Neodiprion lecontei: one gene and its partners. The protein of the gene in region 1 interacts with the protein of each later gene in a pairwise test. Links are inferred from orthologs where the notes say so. Each region holds a gene or a part of one and is shown on either strand. Other genes may lie near its edges.

Region 1 (6,668 bases):
TAACCAAACAACAAATGTAATTTCAAATCCGTTCACTAGCGAAAATGCTTGGCAGCCAACGGTAAATAGCGTAAATAATAATAACAATTCGCAACCCATGGACAATGCGTGCAATTCAGTCAATCCCTTCAGGACAATCCAATTCTCTTCAAATAATGGTAATGTATAACAGTATAGAAATCACATTTGTGTTTGACGATACCTAATACCTGACTCAGTTGTGCATTGATATATGATTTTTCAACAGTATCGTTTTATAGCAAGTAGATTTTTAATTTATTTCTTCGTAGCAGAGCAGCAATGGTTTGGAGTTGGATTACCTGGTAATGGTGACGTAGTTTCGTCTAGTCAGTTGATGACGCCGTTTTCGAGCAAAGCATGGCAACCAAAAGTGACTTCCTATCACGCAAATCCATTCATGGTAAGTTGGGTCATGAAAAATGACCGCCAATTCCATTTACAAACGATGAACTAACATCAAATTCTTAAACTTGATAAATTTTATTTTCAGGTGGGATCCGGAGTTGGCACGACAACAAGAAATACGAACAATCCTTTCTTATGATTATGCAAGCCTAAATTTATAATTACCTTACGAACAAATAATGCAAAACTAAAATACTTATAGTATCGAAAAAATTGTTTATATACATGACTTTGTTGGCAATTAGTGCCAACAACTTTACGTTTTAAGAGCACCAATCTCATTTATTCATATAACAAAAAAGTAAATGATACTTTTATTTATGAATATAATATACACGTTAAATAAAGATAATATTTGTTACTAATTATACAGATATATTATGGTTTTATGACGTAGTACCTTTTCACCCGTCCATCATTAACACAACCCAATGATAAATGTAAAGAGTGTGTTTGAAATGGTGATAATGATACTTGGAATACTTCGGAAGATGACGACAATAATGGGTGAAAGATGTGTGCACACTTAAATATGGTTTATTTACTTAAAAATGTTCTAATAAATACAAAATCACAAATGAACACTTAGTCTTTGTTTTAACTTAATCGGTATATTCCATATTGATAGATCTGGTTACTCGTCGTATGGTTTAATAATTATCATTCATTGATCGTTATACTTGCGTGCGCTAGAGTATGCATGGGTACGTTGGCATTCTCTACTAGTAGCATCATAGTCGACGCAACACCTTAGTACAATATTAATTAAATAGATAAAGAAGCATGGCGTCAACTAAATGAATGATCTCCCACCAGCTCGCTTAGCTGCCATTACTTTTACTAATATGTTGTAAAGTTGGAAGCTCCAACGTTCATTATTTATCATTAATTATATTACTTATGGTAATAAATTATTTAGTAATAAAAGACAAATAAGAGAAACACTAATATATGAGCTCACCAATTATGTTAGTCTCGTGTATAAATACTGCTTAACGTAATCATATCAATTGTTACGCTAGGCAGGTATTAGGTATTAAGATAATCCTACGTACAGAAAAACAATGCTGCATTATTTTAGTCTAGCAGCCATTGCTACTAGGATTCCCTTTCGGTAATGGACGAACTAAAAATAATTTCTCGCCTTGTCTGTTTGTATAGATCGGAGCTCGTTGGTAATGATCCACCAGTTGATCGAGAGTATGAAATTTCCGCTGCCCGATGCAATACAAAGCACCCTCCACGTGTACCCTGAAGTGTTTATTTCGTCCTGGTGCCTTGAGTGATACAGAGTAATCTCCCATCTACACACACCAATTTAAATATCAAACAGTATTGGAAAAAGTTCACTGATTACCTGAATATATTATATATTCATTACAAATCGAAAATTGCACATCCATAAATTAATATGAGCCACTATTTGAGTGAATTTGGTATTGGTGGATTTCATATAAATAAGACAAGTGAAAGGAATTTGATACAATTTGATATTTTAGCTATTGTCTTTGCTTTTCTGTAATGCCCATACAGTGAATACAAAAGTAACTCACGTTTGTTTCACTGTCTCTAATGAGGAAATCCCCATCTTGACCATGCTGATTTAGAAGAGTGTCGCACTGAGATCGAGTTATTCTTCCATAGTACCATGGCTTCCCAACAAGATGGGGTCTATCCCCTGAATCAGGCCTTCGTTCCAATGAGTCTCCAGCTCCAATTTCACTGGTTGTCATTCCTCGCTCACGGTAAGGTTGTGTCAAGTACTCACTTAGTTCTTGTAAGTAGTTGCGAGGAACCAAGCCAATTTGTCCCTGGCCATTTCTAGCCTTGTACCATTCAGGATCAGCTGGTGGACGATCAAGGATTTCTAAACGATCTCCTTTCTCAAAGGATAACTCCTGATCATTGTTGGAAGAAAATGAATAGAGAGCCACAACAATATCCAACACATTTTCTGCCATTGCATAAGTGTGCAACGTATCATCTGCATCTCCTTCTTCTTGAGTATAATTTGAAGGAAACCAACCGGCCTGAGTGCCACTCTGTCCTCTCCACCAGCCGTCATTACTCTTCTCAAGTATGAGAATCCGCGTTCCTTTCACCAATGACAATTCATCTGCCTGCTGCGCTTGATAATTATATTTTACAACTGCTGTTCCAATTGCTTCACTCGGATCTGCGGGTAATCTTCGAGCCATGGTTGGCGACTCGACCGCTCTTGAGGGTGAGTTACTCGATGGTAACGTTTTTGATCCTGAACCTTTCTTGACTTTTTTTTTGATACTGTCAAACAGAGATGGCTTTTCCTTCTTGACGTAATTACTTGGAACATACCCAGCTTGACCCCTGGCACTCTGGACTCTCCACCAATGTTTGGAGTCGTCGAGCAATAAGTATCGTTCATTTTTACGAAGATCCAATTCTTGGGCTCCTTGTCCCCCATAATCGTACTTGGCGACGACGTAGCACACGTCGTCCTGACTGGTCTTGCCTGTAGGAATGAAATCCAATTACACTTCACTCAATTGATGGCATACTGCTTCTGCTAAAAGCTACTCCTTGGTTAAAAGCATAATTGAATATAATAGGACCAAACTTCTCGTGATAAAATGGAATGTTTAATTCGAATTGAATAATAATTGGTAATAGATTGCTTTATTAATTACAATTGTAAACAACATATACAAACAATATATCTAAGCACTAAAGAAGCTCACTTTTTATGATTTTTTTTTTCTTTCATTCTATGTTCCGAAATAACAATATTCAAAAGTAAACAAACAACAAAGAGAAAACGTATTCAATCTCAAAAATGTAGTAAATAATCAAAAGAATATACGGGCTACATCGAAAAGCAACAAGCAAACAATTGTAAGACGTACCATGCTTCATGGCTGCCATGTGCGAATATAGAGATATGTACGTCGAAGAGTGGCACGTGTTATCGGCTACTCACGTACTACGTGAATGAATCTTAAGCCTGCTTGTGTTGTGTCGGCAGGGTCAGTGGAGCAGGCATTCATTCTTTAGCTTTTTTTTGTTTTTTATTGTTGGCACACCCTCTGATTTCTTGGTTCAGGGTCCATCGTTCGCAAAGGTAGATTAAGCAAGTGTATTGCCAACACTTTAAGGAAAACAAAATAATCAGCCATTAATTATACCAAGTAATTGAAATAAATAATAGTTGCTGAAAACTTAAATAAAGAGGCACGTCCAAGTACCAGGCGGCATATGTTTGTCTTTGAATTTAATATGTTGTGGTCGTGAATAAGGGGTAACATTTTACAGACCACTACAGTACCAGAGTTGCGAATGAAATGTATGACAAGAATGGGTTGTACATGAAAGATTTGCTCTACAGCTATCTTAATAGCTCAATATATCTCTACAATAAGTTTAGCTACATAATAATACATTTCCGCTAGCATTGACCAATACTTTATAATGCGCTACAAGAAGAGCCTTTACTTAAAAATCATATTGTAATACAGATAACGAGTATCCACATTATTGATGCACTTATAACATGTTGAAAATTAATCATGCAAAATGTCAGCTGACCAATGTTAAAGATACCAACGAGTTGAGCTTAATGACTAATCGTTGAACACTTGAAAGTTAAAATGGAAGCAGAGACAATTCATATAATATTACTTTCAGAAATTACAATAAGATAGGGATTTACAAACATAGATAGCCTCAAAAATTATCTTTGAGTGATTAATTCCACAGCTACATTGCAGAGGATGAAATAAAGAATACGTTCAAAAAACTTGAAGCAGTTACAATTCTAGTCTTTCAATGCTAGAGTTTTAGAGGTATTCGATTGTTAGTTCTTACCAATTTTTAAACTTGACATATTCCTGCATAAAACTTCAGTAATCTTTTGGTGATTCGATATATAAGGAGCTGCTCAGTTCTGTCCAATTCCTGTCTCTCCTTAACTTTCAACTCTGAGTATAATATCCTGCAGGATAATACAGCTTGTTACCCCCACCCCGAACTCTGTAGCCATGAACAGAGGAGTACGTAGTGTAATGAAGCAAAGGAGAGAGGGCCAGGGGGGAAAGGGAAAAACGAACGGACGGGCAGACTACGGGGAAAGGAATAAGGGATGGACCCTACAGGGCTTGAAGAAAATTCATCCACCGCGCGGTAGTAATCACCAATGTCGTATGTGTACGTCCTCAACGTATCGTCGTCTAACGAAATCGCACTTCGTTCGAAGTTCGAATACCCTGGACCGGGTCCACTATCGACTCTCGTTACTGACTAGAGGCTCTCCGTCGAAAGTGTCCTTATATTTTCAATTAATCCTACTCGTGTTCGTCGGTACGACCCCTCCCACAAAAAGACAGACCCACCCTTAAAACCGGAGACGCCGATTAAAGGCAGACTAAACGCAGAGACTACAGGCCCTCGAAAATTCTACAACTACCATTTTCAAACAGCGCCATCGTGCTCACAATTCGGAAACCAATTTCTGTCAATCGTAGTGACTAGCTAGACGCAAGGCTTTGGTAAAATGATTACAGTTGTTTGTCTACTGTCCTAACACACGCGGAGCCATAAGTGGTCACAGCGCAAATCCTGGAAATTTTCAAACAGCGCAATGAAAAATCGCGTCATTACTTTTAAATTAGTGAATCGTAGTAATCGGTTTAGCGTTAACTTGCAAAGACGATATTTTTTGTCAAACAATTATCGCAAACCTATAAGATCGGTGTTCAATAGGGTTTCAGAGGAGAATATAATATTATCACTTTCTGTCCGGAGGCTTGCCCAAGTAGCATTTTCTGTAGCATCCGATGATGCAAGACCGCGTTCGGTAGCACTTGACAGCAACATTTGGCATGATTGTTGCATACTGCTGCAGCGCGGCTGTTCACTGATTACTTCAATTTTTCATATGCAGGTGGCGATTCAACGGTTCTTTTACCTTTCTCGGGAGTGCACGAACTGTAATGTGATTTTCAAATAACCTGCATTGATGCATGAATGAATCATAGACATTGTCTATGGAATGAATACATCAATACAGCACCGTAGTGTGGTAGCGCACATGTTCAAGTCTTCCCACAACTGCGGAAACAGTCAGATAGTGGTCTGCCGGCAGAGCTCTGATAAATAATCTAATGATAATATATCAGTCAGAGAGTATCAGTGCGGCAGAATCTAGCCTGCGCGTATGTGACGGTCACAATATGAACTTGCGACTGAAAGCTACCTGGCCCAGGTAGAATTTGCTGTAGCATATCCGATCATGTAAAACCATAATTGGCTGCAATTTGCGGTAGAATTAGTCATGATTGATGCATGCTGGTGCAACATGAGTCGAATTTACGGCAGGATTGAGCATAATCGTTGTATGCGATGCAGCGTGTCAATCGACCGACATGCACGGGTTTTCTCACTGATTACTTGGACTCTTCTTGCGGAAATAGACAGATAGTGGTTTGCCGGCAGGCAAGGATACTAAACTACATTAGCCGGTAAAGTCATGCACGCGCGCATGTGACGGTCACAACACGAACTTTTGAGATAATGCTACCCTGGGTAGGCTGCCAATCGTGAAAGTACCGCTCTCTGCGCCTAGATGGCTTAGAGATTCTCATTGCCGTGATATTTTGTAGCGACGGGAAGACTAGGGGTGGGTGGAGGCTAGCTGCGCAGCTGTCACCGATCAATCATGCACTCTGTGTGCGGTAGTACGTGATTCTGTCGTATCGTTGTGTTATTGGTGTCCGGATCACGGTTGTGTTTCGATCGACTTTAAGCTTTGCGCGAGTTCCATTACCCCACTTAATCACCAAGCGAATTGGGTGAGTTTCGAGAATTGCAGAATAAATTGACTTGTATATTTATTGTGCTGACGACGAGAAGAGTTAAATAACTTCACCGAAAGTTTTACATCGAGATGACGATAATCACTAAAGCCATCACTGAGAAGAAAGCTGCGGACATAGTGGAGCTACCATTGGTTGTGGACGAGATACCTCCAGTTAGTATTATAAATATCAAACTTTTATCATTTTTTCTTATATTTACGTTCAAAAAGTATCCAATCGTACTTTTCCATCATTAAGAATTGGTATGTGAATTCATATTTTTTACAAACGGCGCGTTCATTCGAGAAAATCATAAACCGTAGATTGCTGCGTATTTACGTCATTAAAGTCTTATCACTTGTGGAACAGTCAAACAAATAGTCAAGCCTGCTGATCTTATCTCAAGTTGTAGTC
Region 2 (5,579 bases), on another chromosome or scaffold:
GATTAATGCGTAACAGAAATATTTTTTTATATATCGTGTGTTGAAAGAAGGTACAAGGAAGGAAGTGTTTTTATCACCACGCCATGTTGAACATCTTATCACTATAGTCAGACTTTAGAAAATATTCAAAATGTATTTAAGCATGCACAACGTTTCATATTTCAATTCAAATAGTTAACTTTAAATATAACGAACCTGTCATATTATAGCTTAAAAATACAATAAATTAATTTCTATGCATGAGACTGCAAACCATTAGTGCGCAGTAGTTTCACTTTATTCCATTTCTGAACCATACTCCAGCTGAAAAAGGGTGCTGCATGCCAGATTAAAGTATATAAATAAAATAATTGACCATTAACACTCGCATCTCGTTTTCAGTATCTCTGAAACTTAGGGACTCACTTACATGTTTACTTTATGAAACACAATAATAAATTCATTTTTATACTAAAAATACCGTAATCAATACGAAAAATATCAGTATCAAAAGGAAGCACCTCTCTAACATACTTAAATTTTTAAGCACTCAGCACCCTTTCAGAAAAAAATAGTTCTTACATTGCTCTCAATTACCTAGTATAATTGCTTGGGGAAAAAAAAAAGAAAAACTTTTGTTTTCAACTTATTTTCATCTAGTAAATAATAAGCCAGGTACTCGTAGGACCTGCACATTAAATCATCGATCTTTACAAATACCTTTTTAGTGTTACAGACAAAAGTAACTATTCAATCGTCCCAGTCATCACCACTGGTCTCACTCGTTGAATCGTCACTGTCGCTATCACTGTGTATTACACGCGATCTTTCTGCTAGGGCCCTAGTTAAAGCTCCAGCTAAACTATTCTGTATGATTGGAGACGGGGCAGATTTTGGTTGATTTGCAACCGACTTCAACTCGACTCCCTGGCGTATCTGACTCAACAGATTACCTCTAGTATCGTCAGCCAAATTTGGCTTGGGCTCGACTTTGTCCACCTTCTGCAATATAAAAGTAAATCGAGTCACGAAAGTATATGGATATGAAAACATTTTAAATGAAATTTCGAAATTGAATTCATTTAAACACGGATTATCCCAATTGCAGCTATGCTGAAAATTAATGAAAATTATAAATAAATCAAAAGTTTGCTCAGATACATCTTATGTGCATTAAATATTTTCGGATTTACGAAATAAAAATTGATCACATAACGTATATCATCAGATTTAAAAAACAAATTTGAAACGGTCATCGTACCTTGAGCGTTGTACCACTTCTGATTGCATCGAGCAAAGCATTTCTGGTATCAGGTAATCCACCATTGTTATTAGTGGCATTACTGTTTATTGTCTCATTATCCATCTCTGTTAATTGTGGTATCGGAGGTGCAGGAGGAGGAGGTATGTTTGTGGACATTGGAGGTGGAGGTGGTGGTGGAGGACATGGTGGTGATGTCACAGAAGATGCAACAGGGCGAGCCGGCAAAGGCCGATGAGCAGGAGGGGCATTAGGTGGTGGAGGTGGTGCAGCAGTTCTTGAAGGTGGCAAAGGCGGAGCACTACGTGGCTGATTCTGAAATGATCATAATAAATTAAAGCATGACTGATGTACTTAAAAGATAACTCGGATATTAGTATAGTTTTTCCTAACATTATGGCAACGCACACTACTTATTGGAGGTCCGGGACTAACTGGAACAGTTCGAGCGGGAACAGGAGGTGGAGGTCCTAATCCTGTCGGTGCTGGCGGCGGTGGTGGTTGATTGCCTTGTATACTCGAAGGTGGTATTATAGCTGCTTTAACAGCATTTATGCCCCCATGGCATTCGATGAAGTCATAGATGAACTCTCGCGTCTTTCGATCTCTCAGCTGATCATCCGAAACACCTGCTGTGTCGAAAAACTGCTTTAATTGCGGATCTACGGATTCCAATTCTAAACCTTTACTGTTCACATTCCAACCCATGTGTGCCACATGTCTGTAACAGGTAATATTACACAATTAATATATTTCTCGAGAGAAAATTTGTATTACGCAAATTTCTTTATAGTGTCAAGGTTGAGAGCGCAATACTCTCAATAAATTAAAATCATACCGAAAGTTTGAGGGGGAACCTATGTCCGCCTTTGTCAATCTTCTCTTTGGATCCTTGTCCTGTTTATGGTTCTTAGCTTTGTACATCGAACTACTGGACACGCTTCTATTGACAGTAGCGGATGATGAAGAGCCATTTGATATGTCTGTTGAACTTCCAGTGCTGAAACCTACAGCTGAGGTATTGCTGTGGCTCTTTTTTGGCAACGTCAGCGAATGATGAGAATCGGCATTAATTCGTGACTTTCTTTCTTGTCTTCTTTGCCTCTTAGCATTAAGCTTTTCAAGAATTATCGACCTTTGATGTGAGGAAAGGAAATTATTATCAAACCATCGACAATAATGAACGATTGTAACATATATAAAATTAGACTGTATGTTACTTCATAGCAAAACATGTTGTGCCATAATCTTGACTTCTTATTGCGGTTTTAGAGAAAAAGCGATTAATACCTCAATATGATTGCATCTGTTTCGCTGGCAAAATTAAAAGCAGTCATAGAATCTTCACCCTCGAATGTGTGAAAATGGGACATGGGAGCTTTGTAATCCATTGAATTATAGACTTCATGTTCCCACAGCATTGCGTTTCTTCGCAGACAATACAGCCTAAAAAAGTAACTGCGTCTTGGATTATCTTTAATGAGTGTTATTACACCAGTATCTCTTTTTATCCAATCCCTATGTGATGGAGACTCAGTTACGTATAGTTGTATCACACCAGCTGCAAGGCACTGAAATAGCAAAACATACTGTTAGCTACACAATTGTCTCACATGTTGTGACAAAAATACAACAAATGAGTCATAAGCAAAACAACATGACCAAATATTAGTTTGAATAAAAATATTAACCATTTGTTTCGAACAATTAAAAGCGTGCTTGCCTCGTCTCAACTAAAATTAGATGCAATTACTGACCGCTGATGTGAAATGTGAAGATATGGAATTTACAATTATGTTATAATTATGATCTAATTGTATAGTATATCGCTTAAATATGAAAAAAAACTTATGAAGGTTCCCAATGGCCTATATGTTGAAATAAGTGTGTTATATGAAAAATGTTACAAAATACTCTGTTATCAAATGAAATATGATAATGCTTTATAATCTTAAGCCAGAAATTGATAACATTCCTGTCATAGCAGTATATGTTTGAAATATTGTGATAAGCAGACAGAACTTCTTGCAAAATCACAGATTATGTGTAACATAATGATCAGCCATTGATCATATGACTTCAAGCATTTTAAATATACCCAACATATGCGGTAATTATAATGACAATCCAATAAATGGCAACTAAAATTTAGAATAACTAAAACATAAAATCGAAAGTCTAACTAACAGATGTTAGTTTACATCTAAATTCTATATGCACCATTTACTGCTTCAAAAATAATAAATTTGTAATGTCAACAAGGTGGAGTCTGCGAATAATCATACAACATAGAATGTTGTCATAGATCAGAGAATACAGTATATTCAATAAGTAATAGTGTTTTGAAAAATTTTCACGTATTCGACAGGAACTTCTAAATTAGGCAATCTTTGGTTCTAAACACGTAGGTAGACAACGATTGCCTGTAGCTTTAAATATAGGTCAGTATCAGTTAGCAATGAAAGGATATTGACAAAGGTAGTGATGACAAATTTGACAAGTTCACACCTGACATCGGTTCCCAATAAGCTTGAAGACTTCCTGGTTTTCTTCCTTCGAGAGAAGGATGGATCCTCTGTGCTCGTTCAAGCGTCCAGATTTCATTTTCGACAAAAAATATTATACACGTTTAGGTTATGGACGTAGCGATATCCACGGCTCCAGAAGTTCCATTCGATTCCCAGACGGCCCAGGGCACTGGCACGTAAATCACCGTAGAATTGATTGCGGATTTTGCATTTTTGCCCGCTTACAACCGCCTATCCGTGAGTAAGCCTTCACCGTATACCGAAAGCAACACCACCCACGAAGGTATCTCAACAGGAAGCGAGAGTGACGCTTGATGACATTTTCTTGCATCCGGTTCGATGAGCATTGTCTTTTTTTCCTTTCGTAGATACATAACCTATTTTTAATACACAAGATTTAAGTACACACGAACGAACGGGTGGATAAAGAGTAGTCATCCACTTATACGCGACTCTAGTGAGTCATTAACCACGATCACAGCTAATTCGCAATGAATTCTAACAGGGGTCAAAATCATGCCTGTCAGTTGAACGTATGTACAAAGTGAGACTGCACTGCCCGTCACTGTCTACGTATAACCACATCAACACTTTGATATTACATTGTTGACACTTATCCGCAATCAGAAAGTATTCAAGACATTTCTAGCAAGTGTGCAGAAATTTATTATTGAATAACTGTTGCGCAAACCACGTAATTCGCTGAAGTATACGCAGAGGATTCTGCTAGCAAATGTCAATTTCGCGGATCATTACTGCCGTAGTAGACCTGTAAAACTCCCATCCTTCCGAGGCGTGTCTCTAACTGATAGGCAGCAGGTAAACAATTTTAGCCCAACTGGGTCATCCTTACAAGCTACGTTTTCTTCCTATGAATCGGTTTTATCTCCTCGTTTGACACGCGCGCTAAATCAACCCATGAATTCGATATTCGACGTTATTCGATGGTGCAGTTTGCATGATCTGTGATCGTAGAAGATCAACTGCTTATTGTATTTCGATGAAGAGAAATGAAAAAGACAACTTCGTACGCACAGGCGCTACCATCGCAGTAGTTACGTATAATTGCAAATGAGACAGTAGCGTATTCATAGGACAAGATAATAATAGGAATAGGAATCGAGATGATTCCTTTGTTTATCTAACGGTCGATAACTATGCTCTTCAATCTTCAATGAAAGGTACTACACGTCAAACATTCATTGAAGAACAGCACTATCGTTCAGCTTCAGTAAAAAATTGAGATGACGTCATTATTGGTATTGTAGTGCCGGTAAAGAAGGAACTCAGGAAAAATTTACGCGTGCGCGAATTCAACAAAGACGGACAATCCTTGATCAAGTTAGTCAATGTTTGAGCGTACGTCAAACGGACGAATATGGCGAATGTGCCTGTATGCCCGTTTACGTGGGGTGTAGCTAGTAAATCGTAAAATGAATGACCAGTGTCATTTATCTTGCTTGGATATACCGTATTAGAATAATGTCACCTTAACCGTATCATGTTTAGGTGGTACAATATTCCGCGAATAACTAAACTAACGTTAATTTGACAAGATGGAGGATCCACAGCTGACCGAAGAGGAACACGATCTTTACGGAGAGACTTTCAACTGTTTTCGCAAAGACCCTGACATTGATGAGGTCCCAATCGCCAAAGTCACTCAACTTGTACGCACCACTCACATACCGCGCCGAATTGCCAAAAAGGTATAAAATTTAGCATACCATTTAAACATCACGTTCCTAGTTCTAAACCATTACTGTGTACCACTATCAATTCTCAATAATTCGAACTAATGTTATTCCACT
Region 3 (4,647 bases), on another chromosome or scaffold:
CACGTTTGCAAATGGATTTCTCAAAGTTTTTCAGACTCTTTCAACGAGTCAAAAACTACTTAAAGTATATCTACGCACCCGATCTTTAAGATCCTTGTATACAATTTATGTAATTCAATAATCGTGTTTTGTTGATTATAACTCAAGGCTTGCTAGACTATATTGCGATGCAAAAAATTCATTGAAGAAAACGTTCTAAAAGTTAGTTTACGACGCAATGTTCACTGTAAAGACAAAGTGTGGAAAGTAGCGAAAATTATCGAATGTTTTTACGACGAACATTTTGCAAGCAAACATATTAGGATGGCTTCATTGCAAGTTCTGGAGTGTCGTATTGGGATTCTTCCGACTTGACGCCGGTGCAATTCGATAGTTGTTAATTACACGTCAAACGTGTATAATATCAACGAAGCAACGCTTTTGTAGATTATTGCAATCACGTTGGTGTTCGATATGAAAATAGTATTACTACGATCAACGATTGGTACGTATACGCGTATTGTATTTCGATTTCCTCAACGGTAAATGTATACAATACGCTCGTTGTTGTAAGGGGTTTTTGTAAGTGATATTATATTTAAATGGCCACAAATGGTCCTTGTCCTACACTTTTATTGTACACAAGGTAAACAATTGTTATAATTTTCTTATTTAATTTACAAATTAATATTCTACTCTTCGTATTTTCTCGTGCTTCACATCTCAGGCCTTTTGACCTTTCACGTATTATCAGATGATGGGCAATAAGATTGGATGATTTTTTTTTTAAACTATGTCAAGAAAGGAACTCCTAAGCTGAAAAGAAAAGATAGAGAGGGAGATAGTGAGAAAGAGAGCAAACTGGAACATACAGCATCATATGCAAACGTAAACACAAAATATATGTTGAAGAGGTAATAACAATACAAAAGGCGAATGTTGGCAAGTAACAGAAAAGAACAAAAAGTATGTACACGTACGCATATGTATATTTATTTATTTGAAAATTAAATCCACTCAGTATGTAATATGCGATGCGTTAAGTTGGTTTTGATAAAACAGATTGTTCACCCAATCCATCCTTACCGACGTGTCTAGATGTGGTGAAAAAAAAGCTAATGAACAAAACGAAGAAAAAAAAAAAACTACGCGGTGAATGCGGGTAGATGGCGCAGCCAGTCCGTCTGTGAATGCCGGAAATTTCCTAGAAATAGTCCGCCATACCCAAGAGGACAATGAACCCCTCCCCCTCCCCTTTCGGCCGTTGATACAACGTTTTACGAATCGAATGATGAATAAATCCCTCGTGGTACCAATAAGGGGCGCATGACGAAAAAAATGAACAAAAATCGTAGACACGTTGAAAACATGTGACCGATAGTGTGTCGTGATGGTAAAATGCTAGTGTTCGGTATCGAAGAGTGCCGCGTAGTTGTATTCGGCCGGTGAAAAGTCGGTTGGTACAGCAGGGCGACCGCCCGCGTAGGTAGAAGAATTGTTACGCTTTCGAAGTGGCCGCGGAGGAAAAAACTCGAAGTAAAAAGTAAAAAGACTAAGGCAAAAGAAGAGGGGTAGCAGAAAAAAAAAGAAAGAAAGAAAGAAAGAGAGATAAAGAATAAGAAAGAAGCAGGGGGAAAAAACTACGCCGTTGGTTCGTACGGCTCCTCGGGTTTGTCGACGAGACGACGACGACGACGACGATGACGATGCGCGCGTTACTCGGCGTGAGCTGCGCAGTATCTCACTGCGCACGGGGCTTGTTTTGCTCAGTCAAGGAGAGTACGAGAGTACGAGACGCGGCTACAGCACGGGCATGGTTGATGCTCTCGTGGTACGGCATTGTAGTAAACAACTCGCGTTCGGTTTGCGTATCAATCGTTGAACATCTCTGAATCAAAGGTGAATAACGGTGTTGTGATTACCGGTCGATATTAGCCGGAAGTGATAGGCGGTAATAGTTTGTTTTTAGTGCTGTTGGTGGTCTTTAACCTCGACAAAGTGGTGCGTCTGGTGGTGGTGGTGGTGTAGTGGTGGTGTGGTGGTGGTGGTGGTGCTGCTGCTGCTGCTGCTGCTGTTGGTACGTTCGAAAAATGTTGCAGCACGGGTGGGCAAGTTTGGAACGCCACAAGGTGAGTCCCCCCCCCCTCTCTCTCTCTCTCTCTCTCCATATTTCTAGCCTCTCTAAAAGTATTTCTCTATTTTCAACCGATAAACCGATAATCCGATAATCGACAAAACTTTACTTACTTCGTCGTCTACACACCGCCGCCTTTTCATACCGGATAGAGAGACATCTATCTAGCCTCTTTCTAGGCGCCACTATACCTATCCTATCCTGTCCTACCTACATCTACGTCGTATTTTCGGGCATATCTCGCTTCTCACGCCGCGATATACTTACGCGGTATTTTATTTTATTTTATTTCACGTACGCAGATTACCAAGTCTTGTCTGTCTCTTCCCGCAGCCAACTACACTCGCATATAATCGCTAACCTACGCACAATGCTCACGGAGTACATACTTTTATTTTATTTTTTTTCTCTCTTTTTTTTTATTTCCACCAGATTCTACTGAAAACCGAGTTGGTATAGTCAGTCCCTCGCGCACGCCTGCGTCACCGATCTTATCCTATCGCCGCAATACCAATACCACTGCCGTTTCTGCTGCTGCTGCTGCTCATTTTTTCTATTTTCTTCCTTCATTTTTTTATTTTATTTTATTTATTTATTATTTTTTTTTTTTGTAATTTTTTTTATTTTTTATTTCATGCCTTCTCTCTTTTCTTCGACTCGTGCTCTACGTACGTACAATATTACGCGCATTATCGTTATTGTTGGTAATTTTATTTTTTCCTTCCCCCCCCCCCCCCCCCCCGGCATACACATGCAACCGTTTCTTCTGCTATACATACACCGTACATACGCAGTACGCGTTTGCGATTCTGTTCCCCTGCGTAAATCGTGCATGCATACATACATGTGTTTGTGTGTACATATATATATGTATACACACACGTACACACATCTACACGTATCGGCTCTAGGTCTAGTTTTAAGCGCGAGGTTAACGTTTACCGTCTCTTCGCCCCTCCCCCCCCCCTCTCTTAATTTTTTGTTCCTTTTATTTATTTGTTTTCTTTGTTCTTCCAACAACTCGCCGACGAGACAAATTGTTGTTGTTGTTGTTGTTGTTGTTGCGTTGTTATTATTATTATTATTGTTACTATTGTCACGACTGTTGTTATCTTTCGATATTCAATGACGCAATATCATATCCGGTGTAATAATACCGTGATTGCCGGTTGCGTTGTTGTAAGGAAAGGAAGAAATGACGTTATCGAGTTTCGGGGAAATTCGAGCGTACGTCGCTACGCGTAATTACAATTTCCCACGCACCGTGCGTAGTACGATGGGTTATTAGGTAGGCATAATATGCTTTAGGTATACTATAATAGATAAACACGACGTGACTACGTGAACTGTAAATTGATGATGCGAAAACAACGAGGTACGACGAGTCGGAGAAAATTTGGGGATGAGAACGAACGAAAGAAAGAAGGAGCGGGGAAAGAAAAACAACAACAACAACAAAAATAATGACAATAATAAAATAAAGAAATATTTAACTCGCGTTATTTCCACGACGGATGAAATGCTTTACGTTGTTCATAAATATATACAGGCACACGTTATACGTACACGTATTAACGGTGGTAATGAAAATTTGCTTCGAATCGTAATACGGATAAATAATAACGACGTCGGTGAAGAAAAGAAAGAGGACAAGTGGCCCAAAGTCGTCGCTGGATCGAAAACGTCGACCGAGTGAGATGGAGATATTCTATTATTGTCCCTGACGCGGAGTCTCCCGTACTCGCGTTTTACACACACACACACACACACACACACACGCGCGCGAAAGCATTCACTCACGCACGCCACGCCACGCCACTTATACACGCGCAAATCGTCTCACGCGCCTCTAATCTATACGTGTACACGTATGCGTACACATGTGCGTTGTCCGTCTTTTTCCTATCTCTATGCCCGATATCCTAATAGTTTTCGTTCGATGCTTGTGATTCTTGCGTGTCTTCGACGACGCAAGTACAAAGACAAAAGAAAAAAACAAAAACAAAAAAAAAACAAAAAGACAAAGACGAGGTTTGAGGCAAAATTTATTACACGCCTATATGTACGTGTATTAGATATTACACACGTTTGTCGTACCGTACTATGTAGCATGGCCTGCCTGTCCGACATATGTCGTGCATTGTACAATTATTATCGTTGTTTTTTAGTGCAACGTAAACTAATATGATGATAATTCACTATCGTAGCGCGAGAAGAAGCTACGGGTTGCATTAAGTTTTCGCGATGTTCAACGATGTTGTTATTGTATAATACGATTGTGCGTGTGTATATATATATATATATGTATAATTATTTACATGCAGTACATAAATAATATAGATATATCTCGGTAACCGAACGGGTGCGAAACTTGGTTTAAAATTAATAACAACGCGAGCCTTATGCAATGGTGTGAAATTATTTTGTATAAATGGTGTAACGAATATCGTTCTACGTAGCTGCTGCTGCTGCTGCTCGTTGAAAAATTCGTCTTCCTTACGTTACTTTTCTTCTTTTCGTTAATTTTTATCTTC
Region 4 (4,791 bases), on another chromosome or scaffold:
GAGTGACGGAAGATAATAATTCTCCCTCCCTTTTTGTTACTCTTCCCATGGAGTGGGGGTTGATCGAGTTGAATCGCGAATATCTCGAGAACGGTGATAGATACAGCAAAACAAACGAAATTTTGGAGGTCACCTGAAGGCGAAATGACGTACCTGTCTGTGTCATGACGTACCATCCTGATTCTTACCCAGACCTGTTCGCGTCCTGAGAAATGTTCTGCAAACTCAGCGATGCCGGAACGGCGGGCCGCGAATCTTGCGCCGCAAAAAATCGCGGACCCAGTTCGGAACCTAGAAGCCTGACAATAATGTGGAATGATAACTGATGATAAATAAAACCGTCTGTACGAGGTTGAGATTATCGAACGATGAGAATGAATATTTGCTGTTGGACTGTTGAGATTGCGAACTTTTTTCCGCTGCCAAACCGTTCATCGTGCTTTTATGGTCGATTCTTGGGGCGAAATATTTACCGCCAGATCAGAATTGAATGACACTTTCCGACGTAGCTTCTTGTTTTGTACCCGTTTTTCAGTTCCTCTACGTGGCGCTAGTAGACTTCTGACATGCTCACCAGAGATAAGTAGGGAGATCTCTAACGCTCGGCTTTTCGTGATACCAGCTAGGTTGGAGCGTCGACGCGACACCTAGGCGGCCATGCACCGAAGGCGGCCTACAATCGTGTGCCAGGCATGAAATTAGGCGCGCTCGCAGAGTATATATAGATATACTCGGTCGATCGAGCAAGTGCAGCTCCCTGCAACTCTGTGTTTCAGAAAACGAGTCTATGTTGTCACACTCGGTAGAGAGCGTTAGTAGTACAGTTGCGCGGTTTGCGATATATATCAGTGGGTTTGCGCGATTACCTTTACGGCCTTTACAGAGTGCAACCCGTGCAACTGCACTACTAGCGCCTTCAATAAGAACTAAAATTATGTGACATACTAGGTTACTCTTTTGACTTTTTCGCTCGATCTAGTTGCAGGGGGCTGAGCAAGTGGTTGCCAACAGTGTTCCCAACCGTCACATAATTGTAGTAGATGTCACATAAATATGAACTTCGTACTATGTAACATAGAACTTTCATTATGTGACGGAAATCTACTATAATTTGGAAATTTGTATAAAAAGAAGTTTTTTTTTGTAATACAAAAACTGGCGGACAAAATTCTTTAATACTTTTCGAAAAAAAAAGATTTTTAATACTTTTCAAAAGAAACGTATTCAAATCTTTTCGCGCTAGGCAAAAAATTGTCAGCGCCATTCACCATAATGTGGTTTTTAATTTTAACCACATTATTACGGAGGGCGCTGACATGCACGGTTCGGGCTCAGGCGCGTTGGTGTTGATTTGAGCGCCCCGTTTCCCGCTTCCCGCCAGTTCCTGCCGTCATTCCATATTCCGTGATTTTATTGCATTATTAACATTTTCAAAAAAGTACTATAATTTTTTTTTCGGTACTATAATGCTACGGCCCTGGTCACATAGCCCCCCACGGACGAGTTGGGAACACTGCCGCTCCCAGTGCTGTCAGCAATCTTTTAGCTTTTTTGCCCTGCCGGGTTCGTGAGTAGCTCTGCCTCTGTCCTAAAGAGTTTTTAACGCCGTCAGCTAATTTTAGAACGTACTATCATTTATTTCTCGTTTCAGTGCAATTTGAATCAGTCTTTCATCCTTTTCAAAGTTTTGGCTCGAGGCTACCAGTTGTGGACACCTAACGTAACGAATACGACCGTGGTGGCACGGTAGTAGCCTGTAGTTGCCTTTCTCACTTTCGTGTTTGAATGCGTATGGTCTGTGGCGATGGCGGGCGGTGATTCAGGCCCTTGTCTGAAGTGAAAGGATTTTTAAAAAATCGAAATATTAAGTAGAATGAATTGTCGTTGATCACTTTAAGTCATACAGGCACGCGACTAACGCCGGTCAAGAGGTTTGCACGGTATAAATCGTCCGCAATACGTCAAGTACATGAAAAAATCGTGGTTCCTTTTTATTGTGAGCTGGTACAGATGCGTGGTGATCAGATCGCTCGTCGTGTGTGATTCACGCTTTAGGGGCTCCCGGATGGCCAATATCCATTCTCTTCTTTCCTGCACTTCAAATATCGGTCCGTCTGCAACGAACTTGACATTTCCTCCTCATCCCACGGCTAAAACATACCTTCTTTTTTTTTGATCTTTCAGCTGTATTTTCCAAACGGCCGGTGGAATTATGTTTCAAATGCTCTGTTCTGTCACAATTAGTGCAGTGTCGGGCATGCTTTTCATCAACTAGATCTTTGACTATCCTCGACTGTGATACACTTAAGGCTGCTGAAGGTTCAAATAATAAATGGTAAACCTGTAACGCTGAATTCGTACATACATATGTATTTTTTTGTCTAATCTAAACCAAAGAGAACTCTAGTTAATACCCTATAAACTTGTAGTGTTGGAACAAAATTTGTCTATTATAACTGTGAATAATCTACATTTGTAAGTCAACGTTTTATTCATATTCGTTACATGTACTCATTGTTGTTCCTCGTACTTGCTCTCAACATGTCTCTTATCAATTATTTGAAACTGAACATAGCTGTAAACATTTTCCTGCCTTTTAATACCGTTCAAAATTTTATTGACTTAATAGTTGTCTTGCAGTAATATTTTATTGCTTCTCAATGATACATGTGATTTTGCACTCAATCTTCCATATTAATGGCTATTCTTACTACGGAACAAATCTACATGGATCACTCTGAGCACTCCAAATGTGTGTACGTCCTAAATTTATCACTGAGCTTGAATTAGGTTTGGTCTTTGTTATACTGTCACTTTTGTTTTGATCAATTTTTATATTCCATTGCTATCCTAAGCCAAAACACACATGTAAGAAAAATCATACTGCGGGTGTTTCTCGCCTTTGGATGGTCGTAAATTAATATAACAAAAAGTCTGTTAGGTACAAGATTTCTGTATGAAAATGCAATACAGTTTTTTATTCATAGTTTGAAATCTTTAGTAAACTTTGTGGATAGTTTGCCAGCTCTTGTCTCATTAACCTTGAAACAATGAAGATAAATATCATCACTTAGTGCAGAGAACTTGAAAATAAAATCCAGTAACAAACAAGTAGCTTTATCGCTGTCGATAATTTCGACTTGTTTATTCATGAAACTGAAACCTGACTGCCCAACATTAATAAGTTTTAGTCATTTGGATACACGACTATTTGCAATAAAAAGAAAAATTGGAAAAGTACAGAACTTAATACGTGCAGATGAGAATGTAACTACTTTTTTGATTAGCTTATACGGAAATAAGTCTGAAACAAGTTGATTCGCATTGTTATTATACTCATCTATTTAATCTGTGCCAGAAATTTCCGCGAAAGATGCAAATGAATGTAACTGCAATGTTGAATAATGGAACTACAGTAGAGCAATGATTTGTTCAAACTCATGAAATATATTTATTTAAAATCGTTCAACATGTTTACAATAGATTTTTATTTCACCACGAGACAAAATTGACGATTCTCCTTTGTTTTACAACGTAAGCTCATTTATAATAACATGTAAAAATCAATGACGTGTCTCATTGTTACGCGATTGAAGTACACAACGTTATCATAGTGAAAAATTAGGTAAAAATTCATTATTTTCTTATTTTAGAATGATGGTCAAGAAAGTAAGATTTCAAAATATGAGTATGTCTTGGATCATAACAGTTCACTGAATTTGAAACAATGCCAAATTCGTGAAAAAAAAGATTTTTTCTCAGCATAAATCGTTACGATAACGTTATTAACTTCTACATGATTCATTTTTGCATGACTTTTCAAATGAGTGAACTAAACGTGGAATCAGAAATTGTGATTCGGATAATCCCTAATATGTACAATTGATATTTAGATAACTGACGTTTTACTTTAAGATTACATCAAAAATCAGACCCACTTAAGTTATAAAGCTGAAGTTAATAATGTCAACGTAATGAAATATTAAGAAAAAAATCATTATTGCACAATTTTAAAACGACTGTCAAGAAGTTGGCTCTGCAAAATATGAGTATATTTTATTTATCGTGGTTTACTAAATTTCAGACATTCCTAAAGGTGTGAAGTAACGATTTTTCCTCAACATGTATTGTTACAGTATGGTTACTAACTTCATCCATACCTTAAGTTACTACTTGATCTCGTATTTCCATCGAATATCATGAGTTTTAATCTTTATATTAGATAGTAGTATATGCATACAAAGTTCAAGTTCGTAACACTGAAATATTTTTTTTTTTTCAATTGATATTTTGCCAAATCCGAATTGTAAGAAATGCATTAAACGGTAAATTAAGGCTTTGTCAGAGCAGAGTTTACTCACTTTGCCATTAGAACCCTGACAATCTTGTTCGAAAATTGTTACATAATGATTTGTTTTTATAGGTTTTTCGAGCCATATTAAATTTCAACATCGCAGATACATTCGGCTGAAAAGTTACAGTACAATATGATATGAGCACATTAATAATTAGATGGTTTCAAATTACTTCAATGTTTTTAAAAGTTTTTGAAACATTTTGAACTAATTAATGATTTAAGTGTAAAAAACGATGACCTACGTTTAATAACTATTACATTATGTTCACTAGTGAATAAGTGGAAGCTCAGCTATAAAGGAAAGGTAAAGAAAACTAAACACCACGAAGAGCATAATGTCAGATGAAGAAGACAAACCTCCGGCACCACCGGTTCGCCTCACCTCAAACAGGTACTGTTACAACACTAAATTTAATGTTTCAAATATTGAATTA

What was found.
Region 2: the proteins of cytoplasmic protein NCK1 (region 1) and neural Wiskott-Aldrich syndrome protein interact in a two-hybrid assay, tested with the Drosophila melanogaster proteins (2 studies listed by BioGRID). The link is inferred for Neodiprion lecontei from reciprocal best matches to the Drosophila melanogaster genes dock and WASp.
Region 3: the proteins of cytoplasmic protein NCK1 (region 1) and insulin-like receptor interact in a two-hybrid assay, tested with the Drosophila melanogaster proteins (2 studies listed by BioGRID). The link is inferred for Neodiprion lecontei from reciprocal best matches to the Drosophila melanogaster genes dock and InR.
Region 4: the proteins of cytoplasmic protein NCK1 (region 1) and serine/threonine-protein kinase Pak interact in a two-hybrid assay, tested with the Drosophila melanogaster proteins (3 studies listed by BioGRID). The link is inferred for Neodiprion lecontei from reciprocal best matches to the Drosophila melanogaster genes dock and Pak.

Annotation. Positions count from the first base shown.
Region 1 is NC_060261.1:35,431,545-35,438,212, forward strand, and holds cytoplasmic protein NCK1, read right to left. Parts: upstream 4,857-6,668; 5' UTR 4,267-4,856; intron 3,551-4,266; 5' UTR 3,328-3,550; coding exon 3,309-3,327; intron 2,918-3,308; coding exon 1,980-2,917; intron 1,731-1,979; coding exon 1,509-1,730; 3' UTR 566-1,508; downstream 1-565. Other genes in the region: arf-GAP domain and FG repeat-containing protein 1, read left to right, coding at 1-158, 291-421, 512-565; integral membrane protein 2C, read left to right, coding at 6,344-6,427. UniProt on the Drosophila melanogaster protein: Adapter protein that links cell surface receptor tyrosine phosphorylation to downstream signaling pathways and effectors, many of which are involved in regulation of the actin cytoskeleton.
Region 2 is NC_060260.1:27,945,899-27,951,477, reverse strand, and holds neural Wiskott-Aldrich syndrome protein, read right to left. Parts: upstream 3,991-5,579; 5' UTR 3,845-3,990; coding exon 3,749-3,844; intron 2,812-3,748; coding exon 2,531-2,811; intron 2,376-2,530; coding exon 2,079-2,375; intron 1,962-2,078; coding exon 1,649-1,961; intron 1,556-1,648; coding exon 1,241-1,555; intron 982-1,240; coding exon 730-981; 3' UTR 501-729; downstream 1-500. Other genes in the region: ralBP1-associated Eps domain-containing protein 2, read left to right, coding at 5,325-5,477.
Region 3 is NC_060266.1:24,896,610-24,901,256, forward strand, and holds the start of insulin-like receptor, read left to right. Parts: upstream 1-1,618; 5' UTR 1,619-2,108; intron 2,109-4,647. UniProt on the Drosophila melanogaster protein: Has a ligand-stimulated tyrosine-protein kinase activity. Binds 3 insulin-like peptide ligands.
Region 4 is NC_060263.1:25,613,982-25,618,772, reverse strand, and holds the start of serine/threonine-protein kinase Pak, read left to right. Parts: upstream 1-1,791; 5' UTR 1,792-1,940; exon of another isoform or gene 1,941-2,335; intron 2,336-4,629; 5' UTR 4,630-4,692; coding exon 4,693-4,748; intron 4,749-4,791.